3 linked regions of the Mus musculus genome follow. The protein of the gene in region 2 interacts with the protein of the main gene of each other region in a pairwise test. Links are inferred from orthologs where the notes say so. Each region holds a gene or a part of one and is shown on either strand. Other genes may lie near its edges. The genes, in order: Cep57l1, Klc3 and Tsnax.

Region 1 (2,418 bases), on a different chromosome or scaffold from region 2:
TGATGACAATGGAAGAGGAGCTGGACCAAATGAATATGTGAGTGTTCATTCTTTATTAAAATAAAACTGTGTGTGCACGTGGGTATGTGCTCATGGTGCCGGTGCTCCCAGCGCAGCAGAGCGGCTGGGCTCCCTGAGGCTGGGGTCACAGAGGTTTGTAGGTGACTCTGGTCCTCTGCAAGAGCAGGGCACCTTCTCAACTCTTCAGCAGTCTTTGTGGCTCCCACCTATAAATCTGATTGGCTATTTAGACTTACTTTGTATCTATCCATAAACTTATTATTACTATTTCTCATTGTATTTACTATAGTATTTAACTGTTTAACTGTGTCTAAGAACTAATTTTTGATAGTCCAGAGATCTAGACTGATAGGCAAATATTATGAATCAAGTGGATATATCGAGTCTGAAGACTTTAGATTAGAACGGAGATGAGCTTTGAGAAGGAAAATACAGTTTTTATTTAAAATCTTTTAGTTACATGGGTGGTTTCATTAGGCAGGTTAGAATATCATTCCTTATTTTAGGTTTGTCCTGATGTGTATGACAAGTCCCTCAGTAAGGACTATCTGCATAGGAGTCATTGTATTGAGCCTGATGCCTAACCACATTTCAACAAACGTAGCAGAGCTTCGTGCTTTAAGTGGCAGGCTCACTGAACTCATAAAGAGTTGCTGCACACGTAAGGGTTCTCGCAACAGTATTTCCAATCGCAGACTTGGAGCTGAAGAGCCATGTGTTGCCCTAGCTAAGCACTGTAGAAGTGTTCGCTCTGCTTTGCTGAGAGAGAGCACCAAGAATTTACATTGTTTTTAGGTTATTGAGCAGCTAGACACTATGATAGTTCTAAATGTATCAAATCTCAAAGGATAAAAGCTTGGCTACGTTTACCATATCATGATTGACTTATATATCCTAATGTTAGACAACTATTTTTGAAGATTAATATTTTGCTCCTAACTAACACTCATAATCAAACAAGACAGTTAGTTGTGACAAAGAGAGAACAGTATTTCTACAACAGTGCTTGCTGTTTGCTCTGTTTTTAATCATGCAAGTATAATCTATGTGTCCTGCCAGACACTACTGCTTCTGTGGTTTTTATTTATGATGTTATTATTTATTTCTATTACTAAGTATTGCGCTGAGAACCTGCCAGGCACAGATGTCCTCTCTGAGTGAGTTACACCCCGGCCTTGTTGCTTGCTCTTCTCTGTAGGGAGCACAGAGAGCTCCTGAGACAGATGATGCAGCCTGGGAACCACTCGGTCTCTGAGGACATAGAGCAGGAGCTGGAGCAGTTAGCCAAGAAGATGGAAAGCAAAGGTGACCAGATCTCCAAGCTCAAGAAGCATCAAGACAGTGTAAGAAGGACACTCCCCGTTACCAAACAAACCAACAAATAATCACCAGACACATCCAGTGTCACATATCTGTATGGCCTTCCAACTGGAAGTATGGAGACATGGTGTACTAAAAGATACACAGCAATCACTTGAGTGTCTTACAGAGAGCCACCACTGTGTGTAATGACAGCCCTTCTACAGAGGTTCTCAAGAGATGAGAGAGAACAAAAGAGTTCCTGTGGAATCAGGCCGTGGGGAAACTGTAGCGTAGGCTATTGCTTCAGCACCCTTCCAGTTACCTTTCCAGCATTCTCTGCTCTGGTCCCCCACCCCAGCCCTCCTCACTCTACCCCACCCCACCCCTCCCCACCCCACCCCTACGGTTCTAATGATGTCCTTTGTGCCACACGGAAACCTGGTACATAATCCTGAAACCATTCCCTCCTGCCTCCTGAAACAAGCTGGGCTGTGTTGTTTTCCCTGGGATCCTGTACCTAGCCACCTATACTCAGTAGAACTCAGGTTGGAGGAGGATGCCATACTTGTCTTTTAGTAACTAAGAACAGCATGACCTTAATATGCTGACAGAAGAATCCTGAGCATAATCGTTCTCTCTGAGACAACTCCATCCATAGTTGCTGAAGCAGAATGGGGTCTTTCTAGGAAACCTCACATCACATCACATACTTCTTACAGCTCTCTGCCTAGGGAGTTCAGCATTCCAATAAGCTGCAGGAATATCAACCTGCCATGTGCAGACTTCTATAAGACAGTGATTTGTAAAAACCAGTAATATCCAAAGGATATTACTGTATTTATCATGCTATGGTCAGAATAGAAAAATATTTTCATTTTACTGGCTTTTAAAACTATAGCAAGTAAAAAAAAAATATGATTGTGTTTTGGTAAAGATTGAACAAGTTTTGCTTTTGGAACCACATAGAAGAAACTTAAACACATACATTTTATAATTTGAAAGTTATGAATTTGTTACTTAATAACTGCTGCAGAAGCTGGGTGATGGTGGTGCATACCTTTAATCTGAGCACTCAGGAGATAGGTGGGCAGATTA
Region 2 (3,654 bases):
TACCCACTGAGGCCAGAAGAGGGCGTCAGATCCCCCGGACCTTGAATTGGTTGAAAGCCAGCATGTGGGTGCTGGGTCCTCTGCAAGGGCAGCTAGGGCTCTTCACCTCTGAGTCATCTCTCCAGACCCCAGGATTTCTTTTTAAAAGCAGAGATTATAGCTCCTGGCCCCATGATCCTCCTGCCTCAGCCTCCAGTGCCAGAATTATGGGTGTATGCTACCACACCTGTGTTCTGAAAAGGAGAGAGTGTGGTGTGGTTTGTCTTTCTAAGATGAGAGTGTACATTTGTGCCGTGCTTCTTTGTTTCCTTTCTTGTGTTGTATTTCTAATAAGGCAATACATATGCGTGTGCTTGGAGAGGGTGCGGGTGTGTGGAAGGAGAGAATGTGTGTGCTGAGCTGTGTCTAAGATGGGAATCTGCCTGCCGCTGGGTCTTTAAGAAGGACCTGAACTGGGGCTCAGTTGATAAGGCTGCTTGCTTAGAATGCCCATCCTACGTGTGCATAGCATGTCCAGGACCCGGGTTCATTCCTAGCACCCCATAAGTGGAGCGCGGCGGTGCATGTTGCTTAAGGCCCTCCTCAACTGTACAGCAAGGTCAAGGCCAGTCTGGGCACACAAGACCCGATCTCAAAAAATTAATTGAAAATATTAATTTTTTAAAAGGCTAGGAGGTGCACCTACCTCTAGTCCCAGCACGCAAAAGGCAGAGACAGGTGGATTTCAGTGAATTCCAAGCCAGCTGGAACTACACAGTGAGACTCTGTCTAAAAAAATAATGAAGGAAGGAAGGAAGAAGGAAGGATGGGAGAGTTTTGTCTGTTTGCTGAGGAGAGTAGTATCAGTGAGGTTACCCCTCTAAGCCTCTACTTAGTTACCCACATAAAAACACACAGAAACCCATTTGGCAGACCCCAGCAGTGCTCAGGTGTCACATGGACACTGCCATCCGTGAACCACGGCCATCACACAAGGCCTCATCAAGCCTGGCTGCGGTGGTCGGGACCCCGAGTCCTGTCCGTCAGGATCCCGCCAAGATCAAGAGCCCCCTAGACAAGCTGTCGGCCCCTCTAGACACCTCCAGCGATCCTTTCTCCAGCCCTTTGGTCTGCTTCTCTGCTCTCAGGGTTTCATCCCTCATCCCTCCCGTCTGCACCCCCCCCCCCCTCAGTGGCCTGACTGGTTCCTGACAAAACACCCTAAGAATGAGCTCACTGGGAGCCTGCCGCCCCCACACGCTCCGCCCCACACACGCTCCGCCCCTCAGCCCGCAGAGGTGGCACCTCCGGTCCCAGGGCGCTTAGCAGGCTGGGAAGCTCTGTGCTGGGGTGTCTGGGGACCTGGGTGGGGGGGCTGGACCAGGTGAGCAGAGTGCAGCGGGGTGGAGGGGGCTCTGGAACCGGCTGTTGGTTCTCTTGGCTAATCACAGTTAAGAGCTGTCCCCAGGGTTTACAAAGGTAGAATGTTTCCCGATGACGGCTGCCTGTTTGTGATGGAAAGGGATCGGGCAGAGAGCTTAGCCAAGACGGGCGGACAAGGGGGATGGCTGGAATGAGGAGAGGCTGAGTCTGCGTGGCCCAGATGGTGACTCCCTCGACCTCACTGCCCCCCACCCCCCCAGGAGCAGCCATGTCTGTGCAGGTGGCAGCCCCTGGAAGCACAGGGCTGGGCCCAGAACGCCTGAACCCCGAGGAGCTGGTGCGGCAGACACGACAGGTTGTACAGGGACTGGAGGCCCTGCGGGCCGAGCACCATAGTCTGGCTGGGCACCTGGCGGAGGCCCTGGCTGGACCAGGCCCTGTGGCTGGTGTGGAGCTGCTGGAAGAGAAGCAACAGGTGGTGAACCACTCGCTGGAGGCCATCGAGCTGGGGCTGGGTGAGGCCCAGGTATGTGGGGCTGCGGGAGCGCTTAAGCCTGGGAGGGAAGAGGACCAGAGATGATGGTGTGTGTGTGTGTCTGTGTGTGTCTGTGTGTGTCTGTGTGTGTCGGGGGTGGGGGGGAGGGCCCAGGTAGGATGTCTGAAGGAGCCAAGCCCAGGAAGAGGGACTGCAGGCCAGAGACAGCATCCCTGAGAAGCATTAGGGATGAGAGATTTTGTGTGTACCAATGGGATTCTCCTGTAGAACCTGGGCCTGGAGTGAGTTTGGGGTTTTCATTATGAATGGAATGTCAGTGAGGGGCTGGGGCATGGCTCAGAAGTGGAGCCCCTGCCTAACCCCAGCCCCTCTCTGGGGGGTTCTAGGCAGGAGTTCTACCACTGAGCCTCACCCCCAGCCCCTCACTGGAGGATTCTAGGCAGGGCTCTACCACTGAGCCTCACCCCCAGCCCCTCACTGGGGGATTCTAGGCAGGGGCTCTACCACTGAGCCACGCCCCCAGCCCCTCACTGGGGGATTCTAGGCAGGGCTCTACCACTGAGCCTCACCCCCAGCCCCTCACTGGGGGATTCTAGGCAGGGGCTCTACCACTGAGCCTCACCCCCAGCCCCTCACTGGGGGATTCTAGGCAGGGGCTCTACCCCTGAGCCACGCCCCCAGCCCCTCACTGGGGGATTCTAGGCAGTGGCTCTACCACTGAGCCACGCCCCCAGCCCCTCACTGGGGGATTCTAGGCAGGGGCTCAACACTGAGCCACGCCCCCAGCCCCTCACTGGGGGATTCTAGGCAGGGGCTCTACCACTGAGCCACACCCCAGCCCCTCACTGGGGGATTCTAGGCAGGGGCTCTCCCACTGAGCCACGCCCCTGTTCTTCACAGATGGATTTTAGGCAGCTGCTGACCTACATAGTTGGGATAGGAATTAACCCTATGCATAATTTAGGTGAAGTTAGGGATTTCTGGGAAACTCTTAATTATCAGAGCCACATAGTAGGGTGTGTTGAGGATTTGGGGGAACCTGTGTAGAATGTGGCTTGATGTAAAACCTGGACTGGGACTGGGATGAATCCACTCCTACTCAGGGTCCCAATGCTTCGCAGGTGCTGCTGGCCCTGTCCGCACACGTGAGTGTGTTGGAGGCTGAGAAGCAGAGGCTACGGGCACAGGCACGGAGGCTAGCCCAAGAGAACACATGGCTTCGAGAGGAGCTGGAGGAGACACAGAGGCGACTGCGGGCCAGCGAGGAGGCTGTGGCCCAGCTGGAAGAGGAGAAGAGCCACCTCCAGTTCCTGGGGCAGCTGAGGCAGTATGACCCGCCCGAGGAGAGCCAGGTAGCAGGGGCAGGGTTAGAAGGGAATGCACAGTCCTCTACAGAGCTCCTGGGTGCCTGCAGGAGCTCTTAGTACAGCCCTTCAAGTACAAATGGAGTCCCTCAATCCCCACACCTAATTGAGCCCCCAAAGTACCTTGAATGCTCCTTAGAGCATTCTTCCCCCAGCCCACTGAAACCTCTAAGGCTCTCACCCCACACCTCTGTCAAACTCAGAGCTACTGTGGCTGAGGATGAAGGATGCTGTGAGTTCTAGGCCAGCCTGGGCCACGTAGTGAGACTCTTACCTCAGAAATATACCAGTCCCTGAAGCCAGGCATGGTGGCGTGCCTTTAAGCCCAGCACCGTGAAGGCAGAGGCATGCTAGCCTAGTCTACATGGTGAGCCAGCCCCTGCCCTGAACAACAGAGAGCTACACAGGCAGGCCCGATGTAGCTCCAGGGCC
Region 3 (3,754 bases), on a different chromosome or scaffold from region 2:
CAAGCAGAACGCAGTGGTCAGGACACTAATTCTCAAAACAGAGTAACTGCACACTATCCTATCCAGGATACACAAAACCACAGAACTTTGGAATCCCTGGGAGTTTTCAGAAACATCTGTAAAGTGTTTTAAAGTGGCACTGGTTTGTAAATAAATACAACAAGCTACCTCACTATCATCTTCACAGTAACACTATCAGATAGGCTAATACAACCCTATCTCAGGAATAACATTGATGATAGTGATGATGGCCTCTGGATTTTGTCTGACATAATAAATTCAAAGTTGGATGAAACAGAGTTCCTAGCCTCAAAGAGACACAGGTATAAATAATGAGTAATTAAATAAAATATAACAATGATATAAATACATAGGAAAGGGCTAAGGGAAAGGTAACATCCCATGAGTGAATGGATGGTGTCTTAGTCAGCGTTTCTATTCCTGCACAAACATCATGACCAAGAAGCAAGTTGGGGAGGAAAGGGTTTATTCAGCTTACACTTCCACACTGCTATTCATCACCAAAGGAAGTCAGAACTGGAACTCAAGCAGGTCAGGAAGCAGGAGCTGATGCAGAGGCCATGAAGGGATGTTACTAACTGGCTTGCTTCCCCTGGCTTGCTCAGCCTGCTTTCTTATAGAACCAAGATTACCAGCCCAGAGATGGTCCCACCCACAAGGGCCCTCCCCTCTTGATCACTAATTGAGAAAATGCCTTATAGCTGGATCTCATGAAGGCATTTCCTCAACTGAAGCTCCTTTCTCTGTGATAACTCCAGCTTGTGTCAAGTTGACACAAAACCAGACAATACAGATGGGAAGTGAATGAAAGTAACCATCGTGTCCAAGGAGTCACTTGAGCTGGGTATCAAAGAGAACATGGTCCACTGGGCTGGTAATGAAAGCACTAAGTCAGAAACAAATCCAAGCTCAAAGAACTATCCACCTATGAGAGAAAGAAACAGGAAAACAGCAAATATGTGGGAAACGACCAGCTTGCTTCATTCAGTATTCAGCCATGTCAATTTTACCTGGTTTCCTCACACTCATGAAGACCACTGTAGGTGCTATGTTCTTTTAAAACTGTCCACATTAGCCGGGAAGAGGGAGGGGGGGGAGTGGCGCACGTCTTTAATCCCAACACTTGGGAGGCAGAGGCAGGTGGATTTCTGAGTTCGAGGTCAGCCTGGTCTACAGAGTGAGTTCTAGGACAGCCAGGGCTACACAGAGAAACCTTGTCTCGAAAAAAAAAACAAAAACAAAAAAGAAAAAAACACAAAAACAAAAACAAAACTGTCCACACATTAGCTGGGACCCTTCTCTTTACAAGGTGCAACCTAATTCTTTCTTCCTAAATATGAAGCAGTTTTTACTTTGCGTTACTTTTAGCAAATGCAAAGTGGCAAACATCTATATCCCAAAGCCCTTGACTATGGTGGCCTATATTAACATTAGTAAACAGTAAAAAGTCCCACATAAAAAGCATTAAATGTTAAATAATATGGAAATATCTGCCACATTCTTACCAACTGTTCTGTATGTAACATCATCTTCACACTTACCATTTACTAGCACATATATTTATATTTAGAGTGTGTTAGATTGGTTACTAGACTGGCAAGACTTATTTTGAGGTAGCACTCTGCATAGAACAGGAACTATTAGTGAATCTCGTACATACATGTACACTGGTATTCTTGTTCTATTAACTTGGTCAAGTTATCCTGATATCGGAATGTTTAGAATACAGATTTTTTTTTTTTCTGGGCAGACCTAGCACCAACACGAAACATTCAGGAAAACTAAGCCTTACATCGGCATGGACTAAAGGCTCCCTAACCGACCCCACACCCGAACACTACGGCGACACGATTGTTACGGTTATGGTTCTAATTCTCCTAATGGAAACTTACATTTGAAGGCCAGCATCACCGGCGAAGACAAACTGGCATCCTTCCCCTCTCTCCTTTGGTTATGTGGGAAGGTGTCATGCTTCCTCTTCCTGAACCCTCCTGGTCCTTAGGCAGAAAAGAAGAGATGGATGGAGCCCTTGCGATGCCGCGCTAGCACAGCCCAGGCTATCCCCTTCGTCCCCCGGTACCCACAGGGCTCGACCTCTCCAGCCACACACAGGTCCCCAAACTCGTGCACTGGTGCAGGGGTCGCACAAAACGCGGCTTGAGACCCCAGGCACCCGGCTGCGCTCTGGGTCGGTCCGCAGGGTCCCCTGGGGGCGTGCGATGGATGGCACGGTGACAGCCGAGCACAGGGGCCAGGCCCTGCCAGCCCCTCCCCTCCACGCGCCGGCCCCGCACCTTCTTTGCCGTTCATGGCCGCGGGGCCTCGGCTTGCACGCGCAGGGATCGCAGCCGCCGGGCCAGCTCAGCGAAAGGCCGTCGCGGGACGCCGCGCTGAGCCCGTGGGTGACAGCGCACACCACCCTGGTCGCAGTAGGCGGCCGCCGGAAGCGGATCCTTCACGCAGCCTCAGCCGGGAGCTGCGTCCGCCGCGGAGTCCCCTCGGCCGCACACACTTCCGGCCCGTGTCCCACACCGCCTGGGCGGGCATGCGGGCGGGCGCGCTCCTGCAGCAGCGCACGTTTCCGGCCGGGCTCCCGGCGCGCTCCCTGTGCTGCACATACTTCCGGTCTGTGTCCCGGCTTCTCCCACGTCCAAGTGCCTACCCGGCGCTCTCTCTCAGTCGCGCATGCTTCCGGTGTGCCAGGTTGTGGTGCAAGCCGTTGAGTGCCTACCTGAGCTGTGTAGTCCTGTCGCGGGCAGCGGCCTCCTGTCCCCTCGCCTCTCTGAGCAGCCTCCTGCGTCCATGCATGCCCTTGGCATGTGCTGGGTGCGTGGCACCTGGAAGTGTCGCAAGGTCTTCGAAGAGAAGCAGCTTTGGAATAGATGGAAAGTTTGGTCACATTGTCAAGCCCTAAGGCTGTTGTTTGAGCACATGCTACCTCACCTAGCTAGTACCATTCCTTTGAGGCTTCCAGCAGCCCATTAGAGACCATGCTCAATTAAGATTACTTATTGAACAAAGCCCAACATCTTGAGTCAAGTTCAGCCATGTGCATGTTACAGACATTTTAGTCACACAGTCTGTTCTTGTTAACTTAGGAACAGACACACTTATGGAAATGATATACGTAGAATTAGCCAGTGAAGTCAAGGCCACAACAGCATCACAGGAGGGTCTCCCAGCTCAAAAATCAGGCCATAAGCTGTCACCATTGAATCAGCAAAAAGCTAGATGGTTTGGGCAGAGTCCTGCATGAAAAGGCTGTGGGGGAACAACAATGGATGAATGTTGGACACATAACCATCTTGAATTTCTGTGACTTCTGAGCCCACATTCACCAGTTGTCTTAGCGTTTGTATTCCTGCACAAAACATGACCAATAAGTTGGGGAGGAAAGGGTTTATTCAGCTTATACTTCCACATCGTTATTCATGCCAAAGGAAATCAGGACAGGGACTCACACAGGAAGGAACTTGGAGGCAGGAGCTGATGTAGAGGCCATGGAGGGGTGTTTCTTACTGGCTTGCTTCCTCTGACTTGCTAAGCCTGCTTTCTTATAGAACCCAGGACCACTAGCCCAGGGATGGCACCACCCACAATGGGCTGGGCCCTCCCCCCTTGATCACTAGTTGAGAAAATGTCTTACAGCTGGATCTCATGGAGGCATTTCCTCAAGGGAGGCTCCTTTCTCTGTGATAACTCCAGCTTGTGTCAAGTTGACACACAAAACCAG

The links.
Region 1: the proteins of Klc3 (region 2) and Cep57l1 interact in binary tests that used the Homo sapiens proteins (3 or more experiments, as listed by UniProt). The two-hybrid records come from large-scale screens. The link is inferred for Mus musculus from reciprocal best matches to the Homo sapiens genes KLC3 and CEP57L1.
Region 3: the proteins of Klc3 (region 2) and Tsnax interact in binary tests that used the Homo sapiens proteins (3 or more experiments, as listed by UniProt). The two-hybrid records come from large-scale screens. The link is inferred for Mus musculus from reciprocal best matches to the Homo sapiens genes KLC3 and TSNAX.

Annotation. Positions count from the first base shown.
Region 1 is NC_000076.6:41,720,503-41,722,920, reverse strand, and holds part of Cep57l1 (centrosomal protein CEP57L1), read left to right. Parts: coding exon 1-37; intron 38-1,219; coding exon 1,220-1,364; intron 1,365-2,418. UniProt on the Homo sapiens protein: Centrosomal protein which may be required for microtubule attachment to centrosomes.
Region 2 is NC_000073.6:19,397,518-19,401,171, reverse strand, and holds part of Klc3 (kinesin light chain 3), read left to right. Parts: intron 1-1,250; exon of another isoform or gene 1,251-1,458; intron 1,459-1,622; coding exon of another isoform or gene 1,623-1,630; coding exon 1,631-1,888; intron 1,889-2,979; coding exon 2,980-3,210; intron 3,211-3,654. UniProt on the Homo sapiens protein: Kinesin is a microtubule-associated force-producing protein that may play a role in organelle transport. Plays a role during spermiogenesis in the development of the sperm tail midpiece and in the normal function of spermatozoa.
Region 3 is NC_000074.6:125,011,774-125,015,527, reverse strand, and holds the start of Tsnax (translin-associated protein X), read right to left. Parts: upstream 2,488-3,754; 5' UTR 2,332-2,487; coding exon 2,316-2,331; intron 2,019-2,315; coding exon 1,914-2,018; intron 1-1,913.